3 linked regions of the Oryzias latipes genome follow. The main gene of each other region encodes a partner of the protein of the gene in region 2 in a complex. Links are inferred from orthologs where the notes say so. Each region holds a gene or a part of one and is shown on either strand. Other genes may lie near its edges.

Region 1 (4,378 bases), on a different chromosome or scaffold from region 2:
CCATTACAATTAACATCACTCAGTGGGGCAAAACTTAATGCTACTGCCTCCCGAGCTGCAGCTCACAGCTCCCCCAGGGGATGGGTCAAATGCAGAGAAGAATTATTGATAAATAAATTATTTATTATTATTAGACACCGTGGCCCCACCAAATTGCACATTTTAAATGTGGAGGTGGGCGGAGCCATGAAATGGCCAACGCCCTTCATTCATCTGACGTTTAATCCACCAGAGATTCATTTGACCCTCGGGCCGACCCAGACAATAAAAACGGTCAACGGCAGCCGACTCACCACCTGCAGCTTCACCAGGTCTTCGTAGGACAGCTCATCCGCCTGATCTGCAGACAGAAGGAGAGGCTGAGACGTGCACACACACACGTGCACACATACAGGGGTGAGACAGACTTAGCCCCGCCCCGTTTTCTTCTGATGCAAAATTTCAACCTGAAAACTAGATTTACCCAACCCCTCCGTGCCTCAGGTTTTTCTACCAACCCAAATCCTCACCAGTCCGGTCAAAACCGGACGGCGGGACCATCAGACACCTGAAACCGGGTCAACTTTACCTGCAATGTGCTGAGCTCCTCCAGCAAAGTCTGCAGGATCTTCAGGAGACTCTTCCTCTGAGAGGTCGTGCTCTCCTGCACACACTGCTGGTCAGACGTGGTACTGCAAGCGTTGGCGTCTCACAAAGATGCAAAACCTTTTTTACCAAACATGTCAGCGTCCCTGAAGGCGTCTGCAGGCTCATCCCCCTCCTGCTGCAGCCCCACCTCCTGTGGCTGCAGCAAGGTTCTCCTCAGCTCATCCTCTGACATCACCAGACCCTGGTGGACGTCATCCTAATCATCATCATGTTCAGGTCCAGACTGAAGGCTTGTAAAGTGCGGCAGGTCTCACCACTCTGCGATTGAGCCTCCTCCTGGTCCGGATCTTGTCCTTCAGTGACTTCAGGTAGATGTAGTTCAGGTCTGAAACAGGAAGTGGAGTCAGGAAAAGACCCGCCTCTCAGTTTGCCAGAGTCCTGATGTGCTGTGTACCTGTGAAGGTGGGTCCACCTTTTAGCTTGTTCTCCATAGGACCAGCTGTAGCACACGAGCACCCGCGCGCACACACACACACACACACACATGAGGATGATGATGTGGCTTTCATGAAACATCAGTGTGAGCAGTAGTTCTCACAGGTTCCTCTGAACCAGCTCCTGAAGTCCTGCAGAGGACAAGGGCACCTCCTCTTCCTCTTTCCTCCTTCATCCAGACCGTGTGGAACCCTGTAGCACCTCCCTAAGGAGACACACAACTGTGAGTGGACACAACTTTGTGTAGTGACACCCAGCTGAGGAACGGCCTTGACTGACCCATCCTGAAGGGCTTGTCGTGGGCGAGGACAGCGTAGGGGTCGTGGAGCGTCCAGACGTTCACCTGGAACAGAGAGACCTTCAGGTAGACGTTTACTTGTGGAGAAGCGTTTCAGAAAGTCCTGAGAACGAAGAAAGACGTCCTACAAACGCCTCTGACTAAAACGGGAGGACCGGCTTACAGCCCGGTCTGCACCTGACACCTTCACCTGAAGGCTGACAGAAACGAGGCAGAGGAGATGGGACTGCACATCTGCAGGATGAAGAACAGACAAGTGGTCTGTGGAATCAGGTGACCTACTGGAGGCGGGGCATCCTGCTGGGGTCTTTCCTCAGCAAAGATCTGCCGTTTCTCTCGGACGCCGCTCCCAGCCTGCAACACAGCCACAACAAGTTCAGGTTCTGGACCGTCCAGGTGGAGCACCTGTGCTGTTCTGATGAGACCTGGTGCCGGTCCACATGCTGCTCTGGGTCCTGGTCACTTCTGTCTTCTGGACGGCAGTCTTCTCCTGCCTCAGGGGGCACGTCTGCACCCATGGAGGCATCAACAGAGGAATCCTGATGCAAGAAGTTGGCGGGATGCAGGTCCAGCTCCAGCGCAGAGCGCAGCCTCAGTAAGACCACGCCCCCCTCCCCCGGGAAGAACAGGTTAATCCGAAAGTCCCTCTGGCTGCACAGCACCTCCCCCTTCACACTGACACACGAAGAGACGGCTGTGAGCAGAGCGCACGGCCCGGCGGGTCAGACCCTGCCGCTCCACCCACCTGATGAGGGGCAGCTTCTGCTTCTCCTGGCTTTCTGGAGGAATCAGAGACTCGGGAGGAAGAGGAGTGACGACCACGGTCTGAGGGTCACATGACAGCAATCACACGCTTACGGCCTGTGTACCTCCCAACAGGCAACACCTGTGTACCTCCCAACAGGCAACACCTGTGTACCTCCCAACAGGCAACACCTGTGTACCTCCCAACAGGCAACACCTGTGTACCTCCCAACAGGCAACACCTGTGTACCTCCCAACAGGCAACACCTGTGTACCTCCCAACAGGCAACACCTGTGTACCTCCCAACAGGCAACACCTGTGTACCTCCCAACAGGCAACACCTGTGTACCTCGCAACAGGTAACACCTGTGTACCTCGCAACAGGTAACACCTGTGTACCTCGCAACAGGTAACACCTGTGTACCTCCTAACAGGTAACACCTGTGTACCTCCTAACAGGTAACACCTGTGTACCTCCTAACAGGTAACGCCGCGGCCTCTTTTCTGAAGACACCGGGGGGGGTATTCCAGGAAGCAGGTTCTGCTAGCTCCCACGGTAAGTTTGAGGCTAAGGAAGTTGATAACCTCAGCTTTCGGTTCCAGAAATGGAGGTATGTTTCAGGGTAGGTCAAGTTGCCATAGCAACTCATGCTCTGAACATAACCTGGTCTGGAGCAGGTTTAGTTGAAGGTTAGTTTGTTTTCAGAGAGGTGAAGCAGCATGGCGTGTCCATTTGAAGATGATTTAGTGGATGAAGAAGCTCAGATAATACTTTTTCCACCATGAGAGAGTGATAAGACCACATATGGATGTTGGAAAGAGAAACTTTATACTTTGATCTAACTTCATTATTTGCTTCAGTTAAGATAAATCATTTTTTTTGTTAAGTTAGATTAAAAATAAAACGTAGTTTTCAGACAGTTGTTTTACTTTCATTCAAATTAATTCAATTAAGTAGGTGCTGTTAGATCGGCACCGCAAAGGATTGTGGGATACCATTCCCTTTGCCTGTCTGGACGGATTTGGATTTAAGTGTGGCTTTGTGACCAAATGTGTTTAGTTGTTTAGCTGTTTTACTGTGTTTTGTCGAGTTATTTTGTCCTACTTTGCTTACGTCTCTGCACCATGAGTGAGAGGGAGGGAGAGGATTATTGATTATTTAATCAATTTATACACTTTGTGCATTTTGTTTCGTCCTTTTTATTGTTATACAAATGAGAATATCTGCCGGCTCAAACTTAGACATTTGAGAGTTCAAGAAATATAATTAAGATGGAAAAAATATTAATTGAATTGGAGTAATATGACATTTAGTTAGATAAATACGTAAATTTGAGTTGCATAAACAATTATTGAGTTTTATAGACGTAAGAAATTACGTTGAATAATTTTAACTCAATTATTTGTTACCAATAGAAGTAATTCATTTAAGTTGGCAAAATTGGATAAGTTATATATATATATATATTTCTGCGTCACAAAGAAAATGGAAATAAGATCAGAAACTCGTGCGTTTACTTTGTTCTTTGTCTCCAAGCAGAAACTCTCTTTTGCTGATGATGCAGCCGTGTTACTTTTTTGATGGACGTATAATCTTCATACGGCGTCATTAAAATCTCAGACTCCGTCTCACTGAAGTATAGCGCTTTCTTTTTTTCCACGTGTTTCCATGGTGACTCCAGAAAGCGGCGATCCATTGAGAATGTCTTTATGTACCTGCTGTGCACGTGCATTAACCCAGGGTTACCAAGTGGAGCGTGATTACGTTAACTCATATCCGGTCTTTTGGAACCGACATACCCAGAGTAAGCAAGTTCGGGTGGATTTCAGCCAGAGTTCAGGCTTAAAGTCAGGGAAGTTTAATCATGCTATCTGGAATATTCTTCCTGGAATTTAAAAAAGAACTGGACATAAACTGCTCATGTTATCGTTCCTCACCAGAAACTGTGCCTCATCAGTTTTGCTCTTTCACTCCAACATTTTGGAAAGATTTGACTCATTTTAGAACAAACCCCGTGAAACTATAAATGATTCTATGAACATATTTCTGGATATTTTACACGAGGGAGATTTAATGCAGAGAAAACATAGATAGTTAACTTACTTATAGTTATGGTCAAATATTCCATTCATACGTGTAAATATGCTAACAAAAAAAACGTATTTTCCTAAAGAAATGATTCTGTGTGTCAATAGCTGTTGGAACAGTGGAAACATGGTCACTGTTGAGACTTTATTTCTGTTTTAGTGTT
Region 2 (5,011 bases):
GGCGACCTTGAACTCCAGACCATCCAGGACGCCGCAGCCCTGCTGAGGCGCCAGCTTTGCTGTAGCTCCTGGGAGCAGAGTGGAGAAAATGGAGCCAAAATCTTTGTTTACCTACAGAGAAAAGATCACAAAACCAAGAGATGAAATAGTTATGATTACAAATCAAAAAAGAATGCAGACATGCTAAAATCGATGCAAACCTTCTGCCAAGCCAAGTTAAGAGCTTCGTTCTTCTTCTGGTCCAATTCCTCAATGGTCTGCAAGATTTTTGCTTTGTCATTCTCCACAATTCTCTTTTTCTTCATCAGGTCATTGTACTGCAAAAGCAAAAAACACACAGTTTTCAGCAAACACAAAAATGTTGTCAAACATTTGGATCGACTCAGACGGCGCCGACAGGAGCTCCTCACCCTTTCCTCTGCCTCGTTCAGCATGTTCATGGCTCTCTTGTTGACGTTCCTCTCCAGCTTGGAAGTGGTTTCTTCCAGCTTCTTCAGCCGCTGGCCCGCCTCACGGGGGTTGTTGACTTTAAAGTCGTAGGAGGAGTTCGGCTGGCCGAAGAAATGGCGCTCCGACTGGATCCAGTCGTGTTCTTCCAGCATCCGAGCCACCTGCAAGTGACACGAACATCTCAAAAATCTAAGCTTTTTCTTTTAAAAGAACAATAGAATCTCTGCGTTCAAGTGAGGAGACAGGTGCAGGTTAGTGCGTACCTTGTCAGCAGCGTCCTGGCTGTCTTTATGATGTTTACTAATGTTGTGTTCCTGCTCCTTGATCTTCAGCTGAACCTCATTGTTCTGCTCTCTTATCTTATTGGCCTCCGAGTTTTTTCCCTATGAGGACAAGCATCTTTAAAAACTGGAAGATCTGCCATTACTGAGAAGAATTAAATACACATTTATGCTGAAAGCCGAGAACAAGCCGAAAGAAAGAAGAAAGCTTTCAATGAAACAGTCAAAATTCCACAACCTTGATCTCCTTGTCCTGTGCCATGATCACTTCTTTGAGTTTGGTCAGCTCCTCCTGGGCTTTCCGCACTGCCTCCTGCGCCACATTCATGATATTAGGCTCACACACACGTACAGTTAAACTGAAAACAAACTCATATTTTCAGCTGGCTTGAAAGAAAATGCAGCTTTATTTTTATTTTTTTTATCTAAAAGAGAGGAAAAAACATTTCATTTGTAAATAGGAAGGGTTGTTTTATTTGCCTCCAACGAAGAAAGTTAAAATAAATTCAGTGTTTCCATCCTGCTGAAGCTTCCTCTAACAACATAGTCAGATTGAAAACTAAATCGATAAAACGTCAGACTTCACAGATGGAAAAGATTAATGTAACTCTACATGTAGCAAACATGACCAAAATCATCACAATGTCATTGGCTCAAACAAACAATCTATGTAGATGACGATTTTTTGTTTTTGGCTCAAATTCAAAGTCTTAGAGCATCTGAAAGGTTTCTCTCCGCTCCAAAACCTCTTTTAAAACATGCCGAAAGACTGTAGAACACTGCTGTTTTGTCTGTTTACTATTTATGCCTCCTAATTTATGTGATGATTCTATTTTCTTTCCTCTGAAAAAGGCCATTTTTAAAGTTGCATAATTATTTTCTAAGGTTTGAATTTGTGATTTTGAATCTTTGAACTGAATTTTTTGAAGTAAAAGTTTTTTTGGTATGTTTTGTATCTCCACAGAAATCATCGCTTTCTGGATCTATTCAAGCTGATTTGGTTTAGCTCGACTTTCTCAACAAACATCCTCTCCTTTCTTAAAAATCATGAGGATTTAGTGCTGCTATTGCAAATCTCTGCCGGGAAAGCTTTTAGGAGACTGTTGCCTTCCCAGCCGACACTCCTACCTTGTTCTGGGTCACGGTGCAGGCCATGCTGTCTATTTGTTCCTGAAAGGCCTTCATGGCCTCGTCGACGGCCTGAATCTGCTGCTCGTAGGTGGCCTGCTCCCTCCGGAGCTCCTCCAGCTCCAAGGCCACAGCTTCAGACTCCTGGAGACGAGAATAAACAAACCCAATGATTAGAAATATTAAATCAAATATTACAAAGGTTTAGCTATCTTAAAATAATTCTGGGAACCACTCATTTCTGCATATTTTCATTAAAACAAACAGTTTACCTGCTGCTTCTGCTTTAAAGTCTTGTTGAAGGCGTCTGCTTTTGCTTTTGCTTTGTTGAGTTTCTCCTGGGCAGCCTTCAACTCCTTCTCCCTCTCAGCCTCGGCATTCTTCATTTTGTTTTCCAGCACCTTGTACTTCTCCTCGGCTCGCTTCTGCAGCTCCTTGGTGAGGCGCAAAGTGGCCTCACTCTCGTCTGGGGAAGCAAACGTCACAAAAGGTCTTAAAATAACTGCAGATGAAACCTCCCGCTTTCCCTCCCTCTATTAAACTGAAGTTAAAGTCCAGACCGATGGCTTTCTGCAGCCTCTCCAGCTCCTCCTGCTGCTGATGGAAGGAGCTCTGCTGCAGCTTGGTCTGCAGGATCTGCTCCTCCTCCACCTTCAGCTCGTGCTGCTGCTTCAGCTGCCGATACCTGCAGAAAGGGAAAAGTGAAATGAAAAACGTCATTTGGAATAAATTAACCAAAGAAATCCTTTCTAAACTACGACAGAGTTGTAAACTGGCCCTAAACAGCTGGGCCTTATACGTTTTTTAAAAGCAGGCTTCCTCAGACAACTTAAAAAATAAATTAAAAAAACACGGTTATCTTCTTTGATTTGACTTTTGTCTCATAAAAATATCCTTCACTACAAGATCAAACAAAACATCTCTATAACTTCTGATTTTTAACTGCAGGCCAAACAAGAAATGTAAAATAGACTTAATAGATTTTTTTTAACACTTGTCACCAGTAGCTTGTTTTAAAGAAACACAATGAATTAAAAAATATATAATCAAGCTGAATTGAATGTTTTATTGATTAAGAGGATCTAATTTTCCATGGTGCATAATAGGGATGCCACCATTCTCGGTTTCAAACCAAACTGTTTGCTCCACATTTAAACCGCATTGTGGGGAAGGGGATTTGTTCCATCGCTACTGCGTGTTTACATTGAAAGTGTCAAACAGTTGTGCTAAATTTAAGAAGGATTTACTATTTATTGTCTTATTACATTACTCCAGGCTTAGTATTAGCCAACTGATATATATATATATATTTTTTTTTTGCTTATTAGCAAATTTAAAATGATTTTTTCAAAAATGTTGTTTGTCTCTTTGTAGTACAAAAGTCATATTTCGAACCGTGACCCAAAAATTGAGGTTTGAACTGAATCGAGGGGAAAGTGAATCACTGCATCCCACTTAAAAGAAGGGGTTTCACAACAGAAAGTACCGCTAGTTTTAGTAAATATATAGGAGTTTTTTTAATGTGTAGAGGAACTTTTCTGCTTTTTCATTTGCATACTTCTCAGCGGTTCCCTTCAGACTGGACATCTGTCGCTCAGTATCCTGAAGTTTGGCCTCCTTATCGCTCAGGCTGTCCTGAACATCTTTTACTTCCTGCAGGCTCGACAAAATCGATGCCGACTGCGAGCGAGCGCCTGGAAAGAAAAAAAGAGGAGCCAAGTATTGAAACTGATTTGATTTTCCAAGGAAACAGGAGTCGAGCGTTGATCTCACCTCCACTCAAAGTTCCCTGCGGGTCAAAGATGTCTCCCCCAAGCGTAACAGTCTTGGTCATCACCTGTTTGTCAAACGCCACTTTCTTTGCGTTGTCCAAAGTGTCACAGACCAGCGTGGAGCCGAACACATACTCCATGGCTTTACGAAGGTCAGACTCGTATCCCACCAGGGACAGAGCTGTGTGAACGTTGTCCTCCCCGACCTCACAGAACAAAGACAAAATCACGGAAAATTACCTACGAGAAAACCTAATGAATGAGATGTGATTCCTTTTATACACAAGAAAAAGTCGGAGACTATGAAAGCACAGAGTTTTCTCACCAGGCGCTTCGCGGTGTGGATCACTTTGTCGTTGAGAGTTTTGGCAGATATCTTGTTGAGAGGAATGATGGTGTACCTGCGCTGTAGCTCTCCTTTCTCCAGCAGCTTCTTACCAGTCACCTAAGAAGGAAGGATTCAATCATTTAGTCACAAAGATTCTGTTTATTCACCTGTGAAATAAATTTAAAAAAAAAACTTTCAAAAGGTCTACCTCTGTGTCTACAACAATGTTGTAGAGCCGTCCACCTGCAACTACCTCCAGTGCCGTGGCATAGGAAACATCACTGACACTTATGAGATTAGCTAGAAGGCCCTTCACTTTGCTTCGGTCCCAGCCTCTCTCCGGATCTCTGGGAGACAGCAGAATTTATTACAACAGAAAAGAAGAAAAATGCAAACTGAAGAAAAGAAAAATGACTCAAATAAAACATCGTCAAGAGGAAGAAAAAAAACTCAATTCATGGTGGACAAGATAAGAAATTAAAGTTCTATTTCTTAATCAAATCTTTAGATTAGATAGTTCATAGAGATGAAAGAAACAGCAGAATCAATCATTTGTCCACACTTAAAACTTCAAATCAAAATAGTTCCTGTTTATGTTTAAGCTGTAAAATCTTGTAAACTGTTAAACTATTTGGAATTAGCTGTTAATGAATTTATGGATCAATTTTGCCCCACTCCAAAAACCATTATGTTGCTGCAAATGAAAATATGAACAAAATTAAAATCACTACATATGAAATAATTCACTAACTGCAGGCATTTTACTTTTCCAGTCAATAAACTAAACACATCTGCCACCTGGTTTATTTATAGATTTTGAATAAGAATGTTAAACGAAATCTTACGTGTCTGGGCTTATACGCTGTTATGTAAATTAAAATGTACATTTAAAGGCATGATACTCAAACAGATAGAAGCGTTTACTTGTATTCAAAGCGCAGGCTGGGAAAACGAGACATGAGTCGGTCAAAGGTCTCCTTAAGTTGAGCGACTTCTCTGGAAAGCTGTCTTCGTTTTTCCATCAGGCTTTCTTCTTTTCCATCTGCAGCAGC
Region 3 (5,351 bases), on a different chromosome or scaffold from region 2:
TCCATGTCGCTGGAAATGATGTCCCCTGATCGATAATCAATGAAAACACGTTTCCCGAAGCGGACCTATAAGCTAAAACCTTTTAAAAATACTTTGTTAAAACTTTAGTTTGTTGCTCTATCGTGACGGGGACGCGCTCGACACTTCAACTTCCTGGTCCTATTTTTTGTTCCGGTCATAGAATTCCTCCGCTTCAAGACGTCGGTGCGCCGCAACACAACCGCTGCTTCCGCTCTGCGACTTTGAATTTGCGACGTAGAACCTACAATTAAGAAAGAAAAAGTGCAACAGTGACATTTCTATTGCTATTTTTTTTAGAATGACGATTCCAAATATTTTGCTAGTTTATTAGAGTAAAAAAAGGACCGATAAAAATCTGATAAAAATCAAAAAATAGAGGTATCTCACTATTTCCCCTCCACCTCATTTCAATAATTATTAAAATATCAAGACCAATAGCAATAATAATAATAAAAACACATCCACATGTGTTAAGTATTTACTGCAGATCGTATCTGGCTTGTGCCATTTGACTTTTCAGCTTCTGATAATATTTCATTATAAAGACAGGACATGCTTTTATTTTGAAGGCATGACTCTATTGTTCCCTTAATGTTGGGTTTTGTGTGGCTCCAGCCTTCCTACTCAATTCCCATCTGAGGGTGTTTCCATCACATGTTGGATCTGAGATAGGAGTCATGAATGTTAACTCTTAACTCACCCCTTTCAGATCTTTTTTTTTTTTTTTGCTCTGGTATTTATTTTTGTTATTCAAGTGTTTTATGTCGCACATTAGCACCGCAGCAAATTCCAATTCTGTGAAAATGCCCTGCTCACTGGCAATAAATACTCCTTGAATCCTTTGAAGTAATCTTTTGTGTTTTTAAACAGAAAGTCTGAAGAGAGGTATGATGGGAAAACCACTTTTAAACAGTATATTTAACAAAACAAACAAAACTAATTACTTATGTGTTATATATTAATTGCATTACTATAAACATTTTGAGACACATTACACAATTTAGTGATAATCGGACAAAAGCACATTTCTACCATTATATTAGGATTAAATTAGGAAACCTAAAGTAAAAACACTGTTTATATCAAAGTTCCTGTGTGCAAGATTAAAAACTTCTACGCCAAGGACTGGAATGTGATTAGTCCTCTGCTCTTTCTTGTTCTGTATCTCCTTAATGAAAGGACGTCATGTCGTCTCACCCAGATGGAAGCACAGACCCAGACAAACCGGCTTAACCTCTACGGGAAGGCGACAGCAAAGTTGCAAACTCACACTATAAACAGGTTTAATGTGCCAGGATTTCACACGTTCTGCCCAAATTTAAGTCACAAACTCAACCACATTTATGGGAAAAAAAAACATTTTATTTCTTTTGACAATATATATCTTTTGAGCAGTGGTTGAAAAGTTCTTTTATCTACACAACAGATAATCATGAAATAGTACAGAGTTAAAAAAAAGGTCGTCTTGTCATTATGAGGGAAAAAAGGGCAGATTTAAAACTTAAGCACAAAGTGAATAAAACCTGACATTTTAAATAGAAAAAGCATAAATTCAAAGAAAGAAGAGGACAGAATTTAAAAAAATCTCCTGGTTTTCTCCTTAGCGGCCTTGTCTGATGATAATGTCTGACATGTCATCAACTTTGACCAGCTCCAAATTCTGTAAAACAGACAATTCAAAACTGTTAAAAGGTGTTAAAGCTTCAGACGTTTGTCTACAGAAAATAACTTGGGTTATGTTGTTATAACCTTTTATAAAAGTAGAATTCCTAAAGCTGAAAGTTGCTCTTGATAATAAATTAATGTCAAATATAATGTTAAATTAAAGTCATTTTAAAGACAAACAGGATTCATTTAAAAGGCTCTTAAGTTGAAACATTTTAAAGTCGAGTAGGAGTAATGACACGTCTGTCACTATCTTTATAAGCAAAGTGATCCCACAAACTGATAACACTGAGTGAGTGACCGAAGAGTGCACATGTTTATCTTGAGCTGTTTCAAATGTTCTTTTATTTTCATGGTTTTATGTTTGTGTGTGTATCAATGCCTCTGGGTCACGTCTCTCTCTAAAAATGTTTTATCTCAAGGGACTTCCTGGTAAAATAAAGGTTAAATAAAAAGAAACCAAACTGATAAGATATTTTCAGAACCTCAAATACAGTACAACTCATTTACTTCCATTTGATTTTAAATGAATTAACTCATGAACCAATATTATTTTGGTTTTTTTGACAACCAAAAATAGAGTCGGGTCGTCAGTCCTGCTGTTCATTGGTAAATGATAAACACTTTTTTTCCCATTAATCTAGGAACTGATTACATGATGACATCAGTATATGTAATAGATATACGTTACAGATGTGCGTGTCAATTAGCCATTTCAAACTTTCACACACTGTCAAAAGACGGAAAAAACTAGATCACATGCTAAGCAACTAGAAATTATGTTCCCCTTTTAAGTAAAAAAACAACACAGAAAAGTGTGAAACACTTCTTTTAGCTCCATCATATGCTTAATATTTGTTTATTTTTGGTGGGATTATGTAAATTTGCTTCTTCCCACTTCATTTCAAGCTATTCATCAAACTCTATCTGACAATCATTATATTGAATTGATTGTACTGTACATAAAAATGCAAGTTTGTCTATTTATGATTAGGAGTTATTGTAATGCCAAGAGGGTTGCAATGTTTTCTTTTATTTTCTAATAAATAGTTGCACCTTTTCATTTGCCAGATGAAGCAGAGCCACAAAGGCCAGCGGCACCGACAGGTTCTGAGCCATAACGTTCGGCAACCTAAGGGGTACAAGAAGGAGGGGGGAGAAGGAGGAGGAGCACATTTCAAATCAAACTCTTCAAGGTTCTGTCAGCATCAGTCTATAAAGGAAGATAATGTCTCACAAGAATACGAAAAAAAAAAGTGTTGGAGGAGCCAAAACTTTTTGGTAAAACCCACGCATGGATTCCAAACCAGCAATGTTAGTAGAATGTGAGGCTTTCTAAAGCTTTTGATGATTGTTGCTATAAGTGCCAGAGTTGTGTTGGTACCTTTGAAGCAGCATCTTTGTGGTCTGACTGAAGGCTTTCTCCCCACACACATCCTGAGTCTCAACAGTCTCCTTCACCTGCAGAAAGACAAAAACCAGATGAACACAGCTGCCCTCTCTAGACCGTCCTCAAGCACCAACGCCAGACACCTAAACATTCATCAACATGATACAATACAGACAAAAAAGAAAGAAACAAAGTAAAAGCACCTGTACCTTTTCTTCTGGACTATCTGTTAAAAGAGTCCACATGCTGTTCTTAAGCTTCTTCATATCCATTTTCTTTGCTGTCTTGGCATAATTGATTTCAATTTTGTTGACCTGCAAACACAAGCAGTAGAGTAAAAATCAATTCCATACAAAGTTCAGCCTTTTTGGAAAAGGCCTCAATCATGCTTTTTAAGCATTTCTGAGTGAACTATATCCATATATGTAATAATAAATTACATTTTGGCACACTACAGAACAAATTTTGTATTAAATATTTGTTATTTTCATCAGTTCTTTTTCGCTTGGGTGCCGCTCACTTCATGACATCAACCTAGAGTCGGCCTCGGCTGCATCTCGCCAATAAAAACAAACAACATTTGAACTATTGCAAAGATACATGTGCTTATAAAAGGAAAGCGCTTTTGATGATCACCGCTCGGTTTGTGGAGAAAGTGGGTGTGCGTGTTAGCCTGGGGGTGGCGCTGGCAGGGTAGACTTTTCCTGGAAGGGGCTGTTCCTCACTTATCTACGCCACAATGAACCCGCTTATTTTCACGGGTTGGGAGGGGCTGGTGCTCAGAAATGCGTGAATGGATCCGAATACCGCTTTGGGGTTGTTTATAGTGAGGAATTAACATGATAATACACTTAAAAGCTCAAAAGGTTGATTTTACATGATGCAGGCCCTTTCATGATCGAGATTCACAGGCTTCAGGTTTACTGCCAGGTAAATGAATACGTGTCAAACAAACAAAACAAACTAAATCCATTATGTGTTCTTGAAAAAGAAAAAAAAACCCTGCATGACTCACTCTGTGAGGCTCAGGTACCAGTTCATCCTCCCCGTAGGTGGACACACCCTCCAGGTCTTGTGAGGGTGGAGCTTCACTACCACCTGACGGCTGGATGTCATCGGAACCAGTAAACCCCTCAACATCGTCGTCATCACTGTCACCCCCCTGAAGCAGAGGACAGACCAGGAGATGACAGAAGGAAACGCAAAGATAAAAGCTTTGTTTGCTTTACTGTTTTATCAAAAATGTTCCCCATAAATGGCTTTAGTGAGTAAGGTTGGCACGCAGTAACTGAACGGAACAAAGTCATGTCTGGTCAGCTCTCCCACTCTTGGTGATGTGGCAGCAGTTTCGTAACCCCAGCAGTTTGAGGTGATGAAGTTGCTTTAAACTGCAGCATGTTGGTGTTTTAGCATGACACAGCAGATTAGTGCTAGCTGATGTCAGTCATGAAGCTGATGGCCTGGACTGCCCATTTACACACATTAACGAACAAACTTTGACTTTTGTATAGACCTATGTTACATAAGTAAAGGATCATGGCCGACAAAGTAAGCATTATCAGAAATTAACGCATGGCATAAACCATGGTCATATTCAATCCGCTTTTAGTATGTTTTTCTTTTCATTTGTTCGGTTTAGATCGCTTTTTTTATGCGGTGTGGCAGAAGAAAGTGCTATATATTCTGATCATCACTATGGATTAAATAAAGCATCAGTTCAGAGAGAAAGTTCACCTCTTACCACTCGTTTTTGTCCAGATAATGAAGCTAAAGTTTATTTTTAAAAAAGTCAACAAAGTGATACAAAGGGATTTCATCTATGAGACACCAGAACTTCTTGTTTTTTTAGGTGTGCATTATCACTGTGGATTATCACATTTTAATGCACACCCAGCAGCCAATCAGAATCCATTATTCACCCGGACCATGTTACATAATAAAAAATAATCTATGATCTTTGGTTGACTGGAAATATGTAGAGAATTGAGTAAAACCACCAAAAGATTTGTATCAAAAAGTGTTTATAAAGGCACTTTGACAGAAAAATTTGCAGCATTTAGTTCCAGCTATCTGACTGAATTCAACTAATTGCATGATATGTACTGCAGAGTATCAATAATTTGAAGAAAAAGAGGTAAAGATTAAGCTTAAAAGCAACTTTAAATGTAAAAGTTGTACAGCAACCTATAGAATAAGAATGAACATATATGACAGAAATCAGACACTACAGGTAAAATTACTGTAAGCAGATTGTTGAAGGGAAATGGCATGATAG

The links. Proteins that work in one complex are often made in the same cells at the same time.
Region 1: the proteins of smc2 (region 2) and ncaph2 are in contact, whole or in part, in a cryo-EM structure (PDB 9F5W), measured with the Homo sapiens proteins. The link is inferred for Oryzias latipes from reciprocal best matches to the Homo sapiens genes SMC2 and NCAPH2. Residues at the interface, in NP_001036015.1 of Homo sapiens: Leu93, Thr125, Gln128, Asp129, Cys132, Gly135, Leu136, Asn137, Met173, Tyr174, Lys177, Lys178; in NP_689512.2 of Homo sapiens: Glu46, Phe53, Ile54, Glu55, Leu58, Leu59, Gly62, Ser63, Ala64, Cys65, Val66, Lys69, Tyr73.
Region 3: smc2 (region 2) and ncaph share a complex: the UniProt entries of both Homo sapiens proteins name them as parts of the condensin complex. The link is inferred for Oryzias latipes from reciprocal best matches to the Homo sapiens genes SMC2 and NCAPH.

Annotation. Positions count from the first base shown.
Region 1 is NC_019881.2:24,032,646-24,037,023, forward strand, and holds part of ncaph2 (condensin-2 complex subunit H2), read right to left. Parts: intron 2,207-4,378; coding exon 2,127-2,206; intron 2,057-2,126; coding exon 1,807-2,056; intron 1,736-1,806; coding exon 1,664-1,735; intron 1,427-1,663; coding exon 1,363-1,426; intron 1,289-1,362; coding exon 1,187-1,288; intron 1,088-1,186; coding exon 1,043-1,087; intron 974-1,042; coding exon 903-973; intron 830-902; coding exon 715-829; intron 644-714; coding exon 569-643; intron 341-568; coding exon 294-340; intron 1-293. UniProt on the Homo sapiens protein: Regulatory subunit of the condensin-2 complex, a complex that seems to provide chromosomes with an additional level of organization and rigidity and in establishing mitotic chromosome architecture.
Region 2 is NC_019859.2:11,208,675-11,213,685, reverse strand, and holds part of smc2 (structural maintenance of chromosomes protein 2), read right to left. Parts: intron 5,002-5,011; coding exon 4,884-5,001; intron 4,307-4,883; coding exon 4,168-4,306; intron 4,077-4,167; coding exon 3,957-4,076; intron 3,838-3,956; coding exon 3,633-3,837; intron 3,554-3,632; coding exon 3,418-3,553; intron 2,545-3,417; coding exon 2,420-2,544; intron 2,326-2,419; coding exon 2,132-2,325; intron 2,004-2,131; coding exon 1,860-2,003; intron 1,045-1,859; coding exon 970-1,044; intron 834-969; coding exon 714-833; intron 612-713; coding exon 411-611; intron 318-410; coding exon 201-317; intron 112-200; coding exon 1-111. UniProt on the Homo sapiens protein: Central component of the condensin complex, a complex required for conversion of interphase chromatin into mitotic-like condense chromosomes.
Region 3 is NC_019867.2:25,810,143-25,815,493, forward strand, and holds the end of ncaph (condensin complex subunit 2), read right to left. Parts: intron 4,239-5,351; coding exon 4,092-4,238; intron 3,391-4,091; coding exon 3,286-3,390; intron 3,148-3,285; coding exon 3,071-3,147; intron 2,819-3,070; coding exon 2,743-2,818; intron 1,682-2,742; coding exon 1,622-1,681; 3' UTR 1,362-1,621; downstream 1-1,361. Other genes in the region: vesicle-associated membrane protein 8-like, read right to left, coding at 1-5. UniProt on the Homo sapiens protein: Regulatory subunit of the condensin complex, a complex required for conversion of interphase chromatin into mitotic-like condense chromosomes.